Danio rerio: one gene and its partners. The protein of the gene in region 1 purifies or fractionates together with the protein of each later gene. This does not show direct contact. Links are inferred from orthologs where the notes say so. Each region holds a gene or a part of one and is shown on either strand. Other genes may lie near its edges.

What was found.
Region 2: the proteins of srrm1 (region 1) and srsf5b purify together in Homo sapiens (affinity purification with western blotting; 3 studies listed by BioGRID and IntAct, with this or other methods). This does not show direct contact. The link is inferred for Danio rerio from reciprocal best matches to the Homo sapiens genes SRRM1 and SRSF5.
Region 3: the proteins of srrm1 (region 1) and srsf6a purify together in Homo sapiens (affinity purification with western blotting; 3 studies listed by BioGRID and IntAct, with this or other methods). This does not show direct contact. The link is inferred for Danio rerio from reciprocal best matches to the Homo sapiens genes SRRM1 and SRSF6.
Region 4: the proteins of srrm1 (region 1) and srsf4 purify together in Homo sapiens (affinity purification with western blotting; 3 studies listed by BioGRID and IntAct, with this or other methods). This does not show direct contact. The link is inferred for Danio rerio from reciprocal best matches to the Homo sapiens genes SRRM1 and SRSF4.

Annotation. Positions count from the first base shown.
Region 1 is NC_133192.1:26,822,833-26,827,167, reverse strand, and holds the start of srrm1 (serine/arginine repetitive matrix protein 1), read right to left. Parts: upstream 2,803-4,335; 5' UTR 2,672-2,802; intron 1-2,671. UniProt on the Homo sapiens protein: Part of pre- and post-splicing multiprotein mRNP complexes. As a component of the minor spliceosome, involved in the splicing of U12-type introns in pre-mRNAs. Involved in numerous pre-mRNA processing events.
Region 2 is NC_133195.1:31,614,919-31,618,487, forward strand, and holds part of srsf5b (serine and arginine rich splicing factor 5b), read right to left. Parts: intron 2,571-3,569; coding exon 2,466-2,570; intron 111-2,465; coding exon 41-110; intron 1-40. UniProt on the Homo sapiens protein: Plays a role in constitutive splicing and can modulate the selection of alternative splice sites.
Region 3 is NC_133198.1:4,266,636-4,270,204, reverse strand, and holds part of srsf6a (serine and arginine rich splicing factor 6a), read right to left. Parts: intron 2,706-3,569; coding exon 2,590-2,705; exon of another isoform or gene 978-2,589; coding exon of another isoform or gene 948-977; coding exon 745-947; intron 1-744. UniProt on the Homo sapiens protein: Plays a role in constitutive splicing and modulates the selection of alternative splice sites. Plays a role in the alternative splicing of MAPT/Tau exon 10. Binds to alternative exons of TNC pre-mRNA and promotes the expression of alternatively spliced TNC.
Region 4 is NC_133194.1:14,557,592-14,561,160, reverse strand, and holds the end of srsf4 (serine/arginine-rich splicing factor 4), read right to left. Parts: intron 1,607-3,569; coding exon 1,153-1,606; 3' UTR 482-1,152; downstream 1-481. UniProt on the Homo sapiens protein: Plays a role in alternative splice site selection during pre-mRNA splicing. Represses the splicing of MAPT/Tau exon 10.

The DNA of each region.
Region 1 (4,335 bases):
CCCCGTCAAGGAGCAATAAGACCCTCCCAACCACTATGGCTGTCTCATCCTGTGCAATATCAAACTCCTGAGAGATAGAAACATTACAGTCCACAAACAGAGTGCATCAAAACCCCACAAAGCAAGAACAGTCCAGTTGTCTTCAGTGTGAGTGGCGCAGGCTCTGTGGGCTGGGGGGGCGGAGAAAGGCGCTCCATTGGCTGGCCTCCGCCTCACTACCGCATCACACTCAATCACCTTGAGTTTAATGCTATATCATTTATCTAAATTGCAAGAGACGAACAAGCAATAATGAGTACACAAGGCATAGAAAAGGTTTTATTAACAACAAAATGAAGAGGAAAATCAATCCTATTAGACCCGTTAACTAAGACACACGTGCTAAATCGTGCTCCTGAAGATGTGCACCAGAGTTCGGTTTTAAGAAGAGCTGGAGCAGAAGTTTGCAATGAAGTAGATCTTCAAGAGCAGGACTGAGCACCTGCTGTTCTAAAATAAGGCCTATACAAATGTGTCTGACTTTATACAGGTCAAGCTCTCTCAACAGGATCTGTGGAATAATTGAAACATTTACTTCTTTTTTTAGATGCCAAAGACTTTTAAGTATTGACTTACTTGCATTCTACAGCAATGAATTTATATTGGCACAATGAAACCATGCGAGGAAGAGTGATATATATATCAGTTATCTCTGTGTGCGCTTGCATAAAAACATTTTGAAAATCTTATATAATTATGGTGCAGGCTCTTTAATAAAATACTACAATATTATCCAGTAGGGCTGTGCAATTAATCGAAAATCCGATTTTGGCTTCCAACAATTATGAAAAACCATTAATCGAGATGAACGATTATTACATTATTTACCGCCCCCTTTCCAGTTGTAAACATTTGTTGCTCTTAAAAGCACGAACTAAACCGCATGCTCCTGTTTGTGTGTGTGCAGCGAGCACACACAGTCAGAAGCATGCGGTCAGCATTCGGTCTCATTCGCACACGGTGACGAGCAGAGCGCACATCTAAAGTCATTAATGTGAGCGTTTTAATTTTCAAATAGGCGTCCATACGCGGTGTTTAGTGATTATTCATATTAACCCTCATTTGTGTAATAAACAAACGAGTTGAGAATCAAAAGAAACGTAAAAGCGAAACCTTTAAAGTGACAGCGCACTATTTCTGCTACCGCCTGTTTCGATCAGTATTAATCAAATAAAAAAAGGAGAAAATCCCTTACTGCTCTTGAATGAAGGACTTTTGTAGCTTAAGTGTTATTTTATTGTATTTATTTCTCTTACCTTTGCAGGGAGGAAAATAACTGTTGAAGTCAGAATTATTAGCCCTCCAGAATATTAGCAACCCGTTTCCCCCAAATTTTGTTTAATGGAAACATTTTTTTTAAACACATTTCTAAACATAGTAGTTTTAATAACTCATTTATAATAACTGATTTCTTTTATTTTTGCTATGATGACAGCACATGATATTGGACTAGAAATTTTTCAAAATACAAGCATTCAGATTCAAAGTGCGATTCGAAGGCTTAATTAGGGTCATTGTTAAGTCATTGTGTAACAGTAGTTTCTTCTGCAGACAATAAAAAATATACATTGCCTTAAGGGGCTTATAATATTGACCTTAAAATAAGTTTCAAAATATTTAAACCTGCTTTTATTCTAGCTGAAATAAAAAGACTTTCTCCAAAAGAAAAAAATATTAGAGAAAATACTATTAAAATTCCTTGCTCTGTTAAACATAATTTGGGAAATAATTATTTAAAAAATTCACAGGAGCACTAATAATTTTGACTTTAACAGTAATCATTTTGAATAATCGTGATTACAATTATGACAAAAATAATCAATCGCAAAAAATCAAGTAATGCACCCTTCATTTAAATATGCGAGCATATTTACTATACAAAAAAAAAGTTAATTAATTGTTAGCAAGTTAAAATGTTTATTCAAGATTTTGATTTTAGAGTGATTCAACAAACTTTTTATTCTTTTCATCCTGGCAGTCATAATCGCTGTAATTAAATTACAAATAACTGTAATTAAATGTTTTATTTTAACAAAGAAAAGATGACTAAATTATTCTCTTAGGTATATCATATTATTCCACAAACACTGTTGATTAAGCTCAACTTGAAGAATTTCTTCAAATTACTATATGGCTATGCCATGACAAATTAAAAGTATGTTTTAGACTAAGGAAACACCTTAATGTATTATAAATAAGAGCAAATACCTCTCTGGAATCCCAGCAAAATCTTCCTGAAAATTAAATCTGTACAGACTAAAATAGCAACTAATACAGAGAGCCTATCTAAAACAGATAAAAAGGGTCACGTCTCTTTTTTTCGTACTGTTTAAAGGCACAATCATACAAAAAACAAAGTCTTTAATAACTGACAGATGAGCAAGTAACTGAGACTCAAGTAAAAAAAAAAAACAAGTCTCTTACACTACCAATGTTGTACTGCATTATCATCCTACATGCAAAATCATCTTTTCATTTTATTCCTTAATAGTTTTCATTTCCATAAAAGTGATAAATCAGGCCTTTATGTTTAAGATGTACTGCTAAACTTTGACTAAAACAGAAAGGCACAAATGATCAAGCTGAAATGACTCTACCACTGGCACAATGTCAAGCCCTGCTCATAACTCACCTCAAAAAATAAAGCTCATCATCAAGGGAGAGTTGGATTCAGAGAGACTTTGGGCTCAGTTGAGATCTAATTAGGAGTTGGTGCTATACTTCAGATGCAAGGAATAAGATCCATATTGGTTCAGGCCTTTTAAATCATAAATCACATCAACATTAGAACATTGCTGTTCAGAAGGAACGGTGTCACAAATCATTTCTTCAGAGAGAAATATATCTTTTTACCCCCTTTTCTGTCTTTTTTTAAATCAGGCAGACAGTTTAACACTGTGATGTTAGATGTTTCTGCTGTTACATCTTCACATGACAAATGTTTCAAATAACTGTCAGCGGTTATTCATTGATCTTCAAACCTTCTCTTCTTTCCAAAGCACAACACATCTAATATAGACTGCAGCATGTGTATAAAAAAATAAAACAAGAGCGGGAAGAGCAAGGTGGGGGTCTACCTTTTCCTCCAGCTGGTTAAAGACAAATTCAATGACCACATCATCCTCGAAGCCAAGTATCTCTGTCACACGCTGGGTTATCCAGGGCTTGATGACTTCCAGGTTGACCTTGGTCATATCCACCTAAAACCACATCATAAAATAATCATAATTACAGGATCTTTACTTGTATTGAGCTAAAAATGGTTTATTGTCAAATTACAAATCAGAAATAACCTAAAATGATGATTTGCTTTGCAAAATTACTTTGTATAAATACCTAAATTTTTAGTTCTTCTAAATATTACTTGCAGAAAAAGAAGCCCCGTTTTCACTGCTATAAAATGTGTTTTTACATGTACACTAGGGCTGCACAATATATAGTTTCAGCTTCGATATTGCAATGTGTGCCAGAGATGCGCGGTTGGCGGTTATAGCCGCGGACTCCGCGGATAAACCGCGGATCGGGCGGATGACGTTACGAAAAAATAATATTTTAATTAAATTCGGGCGGGTGGCGGGCGGTTGTACTGTTTTTATATTCATAGCTGGCGCACCAACGAAAAAGCCTAGGACTGACTTCACAGAATGGGAGGAGGAATCGGATACATTAATTCTGGATGTAGTGTACAAAAGTATTCCTCTACAAACTTCCGTATAGACGGATCAGCATAGGAAAATCTACTTTCCTTTTGGGAGAAATAAGGCCAGGCATTCCCATGACTACAGCACCTTTCCAAGAGAATTCTATGCATTTCAGCAACAAGTGCTGCGAGCGAGTGCTCCTTCAGTGCAGCAGGGCGCAGTGGCTATGCAGGCACTCCCGTCTGAATCCTGACACTGTAGATGCCATTTTATTCCTGCATTGTGCCAAGAAAAAATCAAACTAGACCTAAGGTCAGGCATATTAAACCAATTAGCCTATGTTATTTAGGCTGCACATATGTTCAATATAAACTTTTGAGTTTGGTCAGCTGATAATTTTACGTTCATATTGGTTTAGCCTATTCTATTCTAGACATGTTGGCCTCGCTTTTACGTTCCGAGGCTAAGGTTATTTTGCCAGAATTTCTGTCGCAAATTTAATGGCGTAGTATTTCGTTATGCTTCAAGTTTGAGGGGAATGGGGATGATCCTAAGTCCATGGGTTATTGGGGCACTTGTCATACATGCACTTAGCCTTGTCAGGTTCGCTCAAAGAGGAATGGCATATCTATTTTTCTAATTTAATTTCTAATTG
Region 2 (3,569 bases), on another chromosome or scaffold:
TCGCCATAACTTGAGAGGAAATGAATAAATGAATGCTCACCTGCCAGCTCACTCTTGATGATAAATTCTCCACGATGAGGCGATTCTCTGTGCGCATTGGCGGAGGGTTCCTGTCAAGTGAAATGTCTTAAGTTAGTTAATTACTAATGTACAAAATAAGACTAAACTAAGACAAAATAATAAGCCTATTTGGGCAAATATTCTTTACCTTTCAGATTTAGGGTGCTTTCACACCTAGACTTTTGTTTTGGAACCTGTCTTGTCTTGTTATCGCCGTTCGTTTGGTATATGTGAACCCAGTAATCGTGCTTGGATCCACGCCAAATCAATCGGTCCGAGATCGCCTAAATGAGGTCGGTTGAAATGAACTCAGGAGCGGAACGATTGTAGTGAGAAAGCAATACGATCTGAGCCAGGCTTTATCACAGTGTATTATGGATATGTAATAGACATATGACTATATGAAGAGAGAATTATAAGCAGGGCCGGCGCAAGCTAAACTGGTGCTCTAGGCAAACTATGATCATGCCACCCTCAAAACGAAAGAGAGACGGGGGTGTGATTGCGCCTATGACAGTGAGGACCGGTAGGTTTGTCGCGGACGAAAGTGAGGACCTAGGTGAAGGGATGTCTCGGACGCCGCCTGGGTCGCCTCTATGGATGTAATTCCTACTGGTAAAAGTGTGTTTCATGTAAAATTCGAAAGTGAAAGCGTACTGAACTATTAACGAGAGCTGTGTATCTGTTAAGAAAATTGACAGAACAACAGTCTTGGTTTATCTGTTACTTCTCTCTATAATGTAAAGGCCTATAATGCATAAGCCAACTGATATGTCTGAGAAAGTCTTACCTCTGACTTTTATTGATATATGATATGATATGATATTTGGTGATGTCTGTAGGTGTCACCATTCAAAATTAAAGCGTAGCTTTTCGCTTCTAATGTCTTATTGCTCAAAGTCATAATTTAAAATAAGGATGCATGACAGCTGACCGAGACTCAAACTGTGAAATTCTGACCAATGTTAGGAGAGTTTACTTGCATGTGAATTGTTTTTAGCTCTTTTGGTTCATTAAGAAACTTTCAAGTGTGAAAGCGAATCGCACCAAGAACTAAGAGCAACAATGTAACAATTTTAATCCCTGTTTCGGAACAAGACAATCGATCAACAGCATTGTTGAAAACAGTTAGTATTTGTTGTGAATATATATTTATTCAGAATTGTTTGCCAATTATTGGTAACATTAGAAATGTCTAAGACTTCACAAAATCTATAAAAGTGACTAGAGAGCACTTTAATGCAAATGTAAACTTTGCCATGAAAAAAAATTACAGAAACTGTTTCTATGTTTTTTGTGTAAACAAGTATTTTACAGTACTTAAGAAATCCTCAAAAATGTCTGTCAATGTTTTCAAACTTTTTTTTTCTATACAGAGCAACTCTTATCCTTTCGATTAGCATTAGTATTTTTTGCAGTTTAATTTACAGAATTTCTACAGTGTGTTGTATACTGTAAAATCTGAGACTTTTTTTCTCACATCCATAACGCGTGTTTATTTTCTTCATTTAAAGTACAAAACATGTTTACAGGTTGATAATTTTCTGGTCCTACAACTCATAATAAAATATAAACATATTTCAAAATAATATTAACGTATACTTTCTTTGTGAATTTATATTTTGAGTTTTTACGGCAAATGTCACATTCATAACATTGGAATTGCTCAATAACTATAATATCACCTACACCAATGTGTGATAACATTATTTTATTATAAATCACACTACAATGGTATAATCTGTTGTTTTAAATGCTATTTAAATCAGGAAGGATTCTGCAATAATGACTGCCAATATTTTAACTGTTCATCAGCTGGAATAAAAAAAGATGATGTTTTAATAACAGTGGCTTTAGCACAGAGTAGTTATAGGAACTAAGTCACAAAAACAAGCCTACAGTTCCTGTACCCCAACAACAATTGTTTTTTGAGGCCCAAGACTGTATGAGGATTTTAAAAACATTCAGGCATATGAAATTGGACCATTTGTAACTTTGAAAAATGATTAACAGTTAATTTCATCTAATTGTTTATATCAAGACTATGAACTAAAAACAATAAAATGTAGTTCATTTAATTTGTATCTTTTTCTTTATTGAATACATCTAGTATTGTAGATTGTTTTTAAATATATGTTTTTATGCAGATATATTCCCTTACAGAGTAATTCCAGTGAATCTAAAATTATAAATTCTTTCCAAATAGTTATTTGTCATCTAGGAATATTGTATACATACTGTAATAAGTAAATCGCAGAATAAAGAAATTGCAATGTTAGATTTTTCCAACATCATGCATCCTTATTTTGAACTGTAAAGTATTCACACATAACAGAAGGTTTGTCTGCAATAAATAATAACAAAAAAGACCCATGAGGAAAGTTTACCTAAAGACTGACACTCACCTTCGGCTGTCCTGAGAGCCTCGACCATACCGAGCAGGGAAACGTCCTCCACCCCCACGACCTCGGCCTCCACGCAGACGAACGCGTGCATGTTCAATGGTCACTCTGAAAACAAACAAAAAAGGTCCCTCATATGCATGTCTGCCTAATATATCAGTTCACTCAGAGAGCTCTTTTTTTAACCTAAACACCTTCAAGCCATGACATACACAGTTGATGTTCGGCCAACAACGGGCCATTGGTTTTAGCAGTTTGCCAATAGGGGTCATTAGTGCTCTACTCTAACCGGATGTTAACTTTAGTAAGTGAGTCTGTAATAAAATTTAAACTGATGCAAGCCATAGAAGAAAAAAAACTGTTCTAATTTTACACCATCTAACTGGAGTACTTCAGAATCATATGAGATTAATACATAATCTGAAACCATTTAGTTATTTATAGTTTGTTAGGTTTTGACAATAATGGTCAAGACACAGCTATTTCAAAAATCTGGAATCTATTTTAAAAAATATCTAATTATTGAGAAATTCACCTTTTAAATATGTACAAGTTCAGTTCTCAGCCTAATTAATGATTTTATATACTTATATTTTTATATTAGTTTAAGTTTAACTTTAAGAACCTGGGTGTTATTATTGATAGTGACTTCAAACTGGACAAACAGATTTATTCAATAATTAAAGCTATTTTTTTCCAGTTAAGGCAATTATCCAAAGTTAAGTTTCTTTTCTGTCTTTTAACAACTTTGAAAGAATTGTATATATATATATATTTTTTTTTTTTCAGCTAGATTACTGTAATGCCCTCTATGTGGGTATTAGCCATGCCTCCCTTACTTGTCCTAGGGTTTCTGCAGGTTTCACAGAGTTAAATTTAAGACTTAAGACATTTTTAAGACCATTATGAATGAAATTTTAGACTCATAAAAGGCTAAGGAATTTTTAAAATGGCCCAGATAGAAAGGATTTTTATTTGCCCAATATTATTTTATTATAATTTAAGGCATTTTATATAACAATATTACACTAATAATAAAAAATAAAATATTTTAAATATTACTTACTATTCTACTTGTATCCAAACTTTTTTTTTTTTTTTAATCTG
Region 3 (3,569 bases), on another chromosome or scaffold:
AATTTAAGTGAAAAAAAAAAACACTACAGGCTAAGGCTGGGCGATATGGGCCAAAAAAAAAATCAAATCTCTGTATTTTTAGGAGGAATGACAGTATAATATATAACAGGTATTATCCCATAAATGGTTACTTTAACTCAAGACTCAGTTTGAGCAAAATATTATTCAAACACAGGGGTTTCCCTCCCCGTTATTATCATCGTTATAATTATCATTCTTACATTGTTATTTGTTGAAAGACTAGCTAACAGCGAGATATTAAAATAGAAAAAATAAATGTTTGAAAGACAAAAAGTTTGTGTTTAATTTTACCTTCTTTTTTTTTTTTTTTTTTTTTACATTTAAACCGCCCACTGTTTACACTACGCACACACAAATAAAATCACGTCTTTCAGTTAAGGGGCTAAAATAAATAAATCAATTAAACAGAATAAATAAATAAATACAATGATTATCGGTTATTATCGGAACTGAAGTCGATATGCACAGAGCTAAATGTGTTTATAATGTAAATGTAAAGAAGAGAACGTCGTGTAATAAATACTGAACTTTATAATCGGTGAATATGAGGTGCTTTCACTTTCAAAATGCGGTATAAATACATCCCATTTTGGTGTTTTTAATTCTTTTGAACACATTCATATGCTGCGTGTTAATTGGACAAGCCTTCTATGTGTGTTCTTGCTGTCAATTGCGGAAACTGATCCCCGAGATTTACCAGAAGCAAAAATTGCAAAGTCTCACCGGGAGCGACTGCCAGAGTAGGAGCGTCGTCTTCGTGGCTTATCTTCAACCAGACGAATCTTCCTGCCATTAATGTCAGTGCCATCCAGTTTCTCCAGAGCTCTCCGCATATCAGAGTAAGAGCGAAACTCAATGACGCCCTCATTTGCACGCTCCTTATGGGCATCCGCATAGGTCACCTCACCTGCCTGTCGCATAAAATCCTGCAAAGAGAACCCAAACTTCAGCTTCATGCACAACAGCTAATCATTCAAATACCACATCAAACTTCAGCATTGTTGTTAGCTGTTAAAAGACTTTCAGCAATCAAAACCAAGCCACATAAACATTGAATTTACACATTGTTAAATGGCAAAAAATATTTTGAGTAATTAATCCTGATATTTTTAAAAAACTGTATGGGTATGCTTAAATCTATTCTAAACGTTTTTTAACAGCAGGTGGCGCTCTAGGCAAGTTTAACAGCAGATTATGGCATTCTAGACTAGGACCGCTCTGGGACCGTTCTTGAACGGCAGACGGCGCTCTGGGACCGTTCTTGAACGGCAGGCGGCGCTCTGGGCTGGTTTTTAAACAGCAGGCGGCGCTCTGGGCTGGTTTTTAAACAGCAGGCGGCGCTCTGGGCTGGTTTTTAAACAGCAGGCGGCGCTCTGGGCTGGTTTTTAAACTGCAGATGGCGCTCTGGGACCGTTCTTAAACTGCAGATGGCGCTCTGGGACCGTTCTTAAACTGCAGATGGCGCTCTGGGACCGTTTTTAAATGGCAGGCGGCGCTCTGGGCTGGTTCTCCTAAACAGCAGGCGGCGCTCTGGGCTGGTTCTCCTAAACAGCAGGCGGCGCTCTGGGCTGGTTCTCCTAAACAGCAGGCGGCGCTCTGGGCTGGTTTTTAAACAGCAGATGGTGCTCTGGGCTAGTTTTTAAACTGCAGACGGCGCTCTGGTTCGGTTTTTAAACAGCAGATGGTGCTCTGGGCTAGTATTTAAACTGCAGACGGCGCTCGGGTTCGGTTTTTAAACAGCAGATGGTGCTCTGGGCTAGTTTTTAAACAGCACATGTGCTCTGGGCCGGTTCTTAAACAGCAGATGGTGCTCTGGGCTAGTTTTTAAACTGCAGACGGCGCTCTGGTTCGGTTTTTAAACAGCAGATGGTGCTCTGGGCTAGTATTTAAACTGCAGACGGCGCTCGGGTTCGGTTTTTAAACAGCAGATGGTGCTCTGGGCTAGTATTTAAACTGCAGACGGCGCTCGGGTTCGGTTTTTAAACAGCAGATGGTGCTCTGGGCTAGTTTTTAAACAGCACATGTGCTCTGGGCCGGTTCTTAAACAGCAGATGGTGCTCTGGGCCAGTTTTTAAACAGCAGACTGCGCTCTTGGCTGGTTTTTAAAATGGCAGACGGCGCCCTGGGTCTGTTCTTAAAGAGCAGACGATGCTCAGGGCTAGTTTTTAAACATGCTCACTAAGAATGCGCTTGAAACTCACCAATTTTGTCAATGATTGTTTTAGGATTAAGAGGTATTTGTCAAGAACCTGAGGCAGAGTATGGCTGTACGGATATCGATTCTGGGATTTTCAAAATGCATACATTTTCTCTTGAATCTATTCTGAACTGCTGTGAAGAGAAAATGTATGCATTTTGAAGATCCCAGAATTGATATCTAAAATGATTTTTACACTAAACAGTTAGTTTTTGTTCTATTAATCACTTGAGACCACTGAAGTAATAAAAAGTGTCCTAAAATCAGACCAATCAGCTTCTGCATTAAACATTAGGGCTACTGTGTGAAATGGAAAACATGCTGGGATGCAGAGCTGACAGGGTTGTTGTGTGCCATTTTACCACCATTACCTTTAGGTCTTGCCAGCTGCAGCGACTAGACAGATTCTCCACAATGAGCCGATACTCAGTGCGAACAGGAGGACCGTACTTGTCCCTACCGGTGCGACTCCTGCTGCTGTAACCACCTTCAGTACACAAGGGGAGGGAACATAAGACAACCTTTTATAAGAGACAAACCAAAGAAAGATGGACGCCACTGAATTAATAATGAGTCTATTAGGAAATACAGGTCATATTTGCCCTCTGTTGCTTATTGCCAACCTGTTGAGACTCAAGAGCACTTTGCTGCCTCCCAGAAAGGCATTACTATTTGGATAAAAGAGAATCTGATAAGACACACAATAAAGGCTGACCAGACGATCAAATCTCAGGTCTTTTAGGGCAAAATTAATCTGATACATTTAAATATTTAATCAAAACCTTGGCATGAACATCCTGACTTGCCCACACAGAAATTGCTAGTGCAAACCCCAATGTCTCCATTTCAGACATTTCTATTACATCTTGGCTAGAGGCTTTTCCATATGGACAACATAGCAATAACTAGTGGCATTCCTCACCATCACCCCTGGTCTATTGGCAAAAGGCTGTGGTCATCTTGGCTTCCGGTTAGGTCAGCCAAAGCATCAAGGGGCAAAGGTCACACACACATTGTAAGGTGAAGAGGCCAAGGCCAAACCGGTCAGGTAGTCATCTTAGCCACAACGACACTTGGACTCAGCCTCAGCCCCCACTGGACTCTTTCAAATTGAAACAATCAAGGACTTTGTTATTGTGAAAATCAAATCTGAAGTAGTTCATAACTTAGACATGGACGTTGATGCTTACTTTCCACTGGGCTAGAACTCAGAATAGGGAATAGAGAATGGGAAGCTGCTGTCACAGCGCAGTGCACTGGTGGGACTGAAGAACACTGGAGCTACAGTACAGAGCGAGTAGTAATCGTTTATATACAGGTTATGGTTATGCTATTTGACTTAAAGGGCTAG
Region 4 (3,569 bases), on another chromosome or scaffold:
CTTTTATCTAAATGTTGGCGACATCTTGTGGATTTTTTTCTACATGGAAACTTAAAAAGTTAAACGAAAAAATACTTTAAATAATTACAAGTTACTAACGTATTATTTTTATTCAAAGCTATATCTTCAACTCTTTGGGGCACACGTTTTTTTTAAACAGGAGGTTGTTTTCATTTACAAATCGTCACCATAGAATTATAAGGTTCTATCCGACATTTTTATCAAAATGGAGTTATCGACACATTCTTATAAATGACAACTTCTTTACATTGTGTTTTTGCAAGACTTCAGTCTGCATTCAAATGGCAAGTGTTAAACCCTAAAAGAGATTTATACAATTCCAATAAAGTAAAAGTTTTGAAATAAAAACTAAAAACTTTTGTTTCATAAAATGGCCAAAGATCAGTTGTGGTTTTGACTTTGCAATACAAGGAAGGCCATCACAAAACACCCTTGGAAATGAACAGAATGGACACAAGCATTGTGAGGCAGTTTTTATTGTTTTGCATGGAGAAACTGAATTTAAAAAGACCATAAACTCTGCCCCAGCATAACAACAATTATGGTACAGGTCTAAAGTATACAATGCAAAGGGTTAGGACACCTACTGAGGGCTCGGTCTTTATGAATAAAACATATGCAAGCAATTTCCAAAGAAAAACACTACTAAAATAAAACATAAGGTTAACAATTTCAGAAAATAATAACTGTGAATAAGCAGGCAATTTCCCTAATAACTAGCTTGTCTATTTGACAACAAAGGATAAAACAAAACTACAAAAAAGTAGCTTCAAAAAAAGAAATGAAGGGCAGAACAACATTTAGACACTGACTGCAAAACATAATTTTCAGTCTATTCTTGTCTTTTTCCGAGGACAAAATATCTAAAAACAAGATACACCATTTTGCTTCTCAAATGTAACATTCAGACTTGTTTTCAGACAATATATCTTGAATTCTATTTATTTTCTTACCCCTATCAGTTGATAACTGTGTTTTGTTTTAAGCATACATCTATCACAATTGTGACAAAAAGATTTAAAGGGGTAAAAAAAAAAAAACATTTAAGACATATTCTTGTTTTAAAGACGTTTAGCTAGACTGGAAAACAAGATGAATAATACTGAGTGAGAAAGACTTTCAGAAATGGATTTAGGACCGAGACCTCGAACGGGATCGAGATCGGGAATAAGACTGTGAGCGTGAATGTGAGCGTGATTTGGATCTGGACCTAGACCTGGATCTAGATTCCCTCCGCTGATCTGCATTTGGTGGTGTTTGTGATCTGGATCGAGAATGAGCTCTAGAACGATGTGTTCCCGCTCTGCCTTCATCACCACTCTTGCTCGCCTCCTGAGATTTGGACCCAGACTCTCTGGACAGATCCCTATCGTTCCTCGATTTGGATCGAGATCTGGACCGAGAATCAGAGCGACCCCGCTTGTTCTCACGTTTGCTCTTTTTATTTTGAGGGCTGCGGCTCAAGCTATTATCCCTGCCGCTATCACCACCCTTGCGAGCTCCGTTACTGCTCTCCTCCATCCTGCTGCTCCTGCTCTTAGCCTTCTTGCTGGTTGACCTGCTGCGTGATCGTGAACCTGAGGCTCTGAAATGGAAAGAAAACAGAACAATTCAACAAATCAATACATTAGCACAAAGCAACACGACTTCTATTTTACTACAGGAGTTATTGCCATCTAGTGTACTCAAACATTAAAATATCAATTGCTCCACAAAGCATAGTCAAAGTATATAAACAAGACATAAGATAGTAAATGAATGTGAATTGCAATGCACAACTTGTAGAACAAAGACTTTAAATTATGAGCACTAAGCATTATACATGTGGGCAGCACGGTGGCTCAGTGGGTAGCACAATAGCCTCACAGCAAAAAGGTTGCTGGTTTGAGCCCTGGCTGGGTCAGTTGGTATTTCTGTGTGGAGTTTTCATGTTCTCTCCATGTTCCTATGGGTTTCCTCCGGGTGCTCTGGTTTCCCCCTCAAGTCCAAAAACATGCGGCGTGGGTGAATTGGAAAGCTAAAATTGTTTGTAGGGTAAGTGTGAATGTGTATGGATGTTTCCCAGTGATGGATTGCAGCTGGAAGGGCAACCACTGCATAAAACATGTGCTGGATAAGTTGGCAGTTCATTCCGCTGTGGCAACCCCATATTATTAAAAGGACTAAGCCGAAAAAAGAAAATGAATGAAGCATCATATATAGTAACAAAAACATGCATAAATAAAAATAAAAATATGAAAAAAATCATATCATTAATAAAATTAAGTATTAATGCCTCTATTTTGAATAAAAAAAATATATAAAGTAAAACTATTTTATCAAACATATTAACTAAAAGGATTTTTAGACATTGTATTAAAAATCTAAGGAATATACCAATCTTCTCGGAGTGCATGTAACACAATACCATGACGTTGAATTTAACTTTTTGCTCTGAATTAAGACCCTTAAAAGCCAGTTGAACCTTACTCAGCGTTTTTGAGCTTGTTCCTTAAAACATTTTTTTAAATTGGAATAATTATCTATAATTACCTGTCATTTCGCTCAATCATGATCCTTAACTCAAATATAAGCAACACTAAAAATAAAAACTTCAAAGCTAAAATACATATAATGCCTTATGCAACAGCTTTGCTTGTATGGCAACAAAATGAATTGCAAAAGATGATACTAAATTGGTAATATAGCTTTAAATATTCTTGTCAACAATTCATAAATAAATTTTAAATACAATTCTCTTCACATTGTACAGTGGGTAGTTTAAGTCATCAACTTCAAATTCACTCATTATATTATATTATATTATATAATATATATAATATATTATAATATATTATAATATAATATAATATAATATAATATAATATAATATAATATAATATAATATACAACAGTTCTGTCCGGGTGCTGAATCTGATTGGCTAATAGCCATGTGATATTCTGCCATATCAGAACTCTTACAGCCTCTTCACCATACTTCACCTACAGAGTGACATCAGATCAATAAAGTCACTACAGTTTGACAAATGTTGCAGCTGTTGGACAACAATGTACTTTTGAGGCTTTTAAGTTAAGAATGTAGTCGTTTAGATTGCATCTGTGGAGTTTATTTATAAGGACAGTGCCTGTTTTAAATATTTATAATTTCTGAGATAGCATGATGGCATCCACCAGCCTATGTTATTGAGCCGAGCAAAGACGGTTGACGTTTTCCATCCACAAGATGGCGACAAGAGACCACATAATAAGCCCTTAGAGGAGAAAAGATTGTTGTATTTTCTAACAGCTGATCAAATTCTAAAAATTGATGAGTGACATTAAGTAGATCTCTCTCTTTTGTATGTTGTAGTGCTGTTTTTATATAACCGTAATCGTAGGGTATTGAGTGTGAGATAGGACTCTCATATAAGGAATGTATGTATTTTGTGTTGGCCACTCTTTGTATAACTCGGCGTTACTTTTTTGGTTGGCTATCTGTTTGTTTCTAAAGCATCTCCTGCTTTCGTTACTGCAGACTAGTTCAGTAAAAAGAAAAAAAGATGCATGTG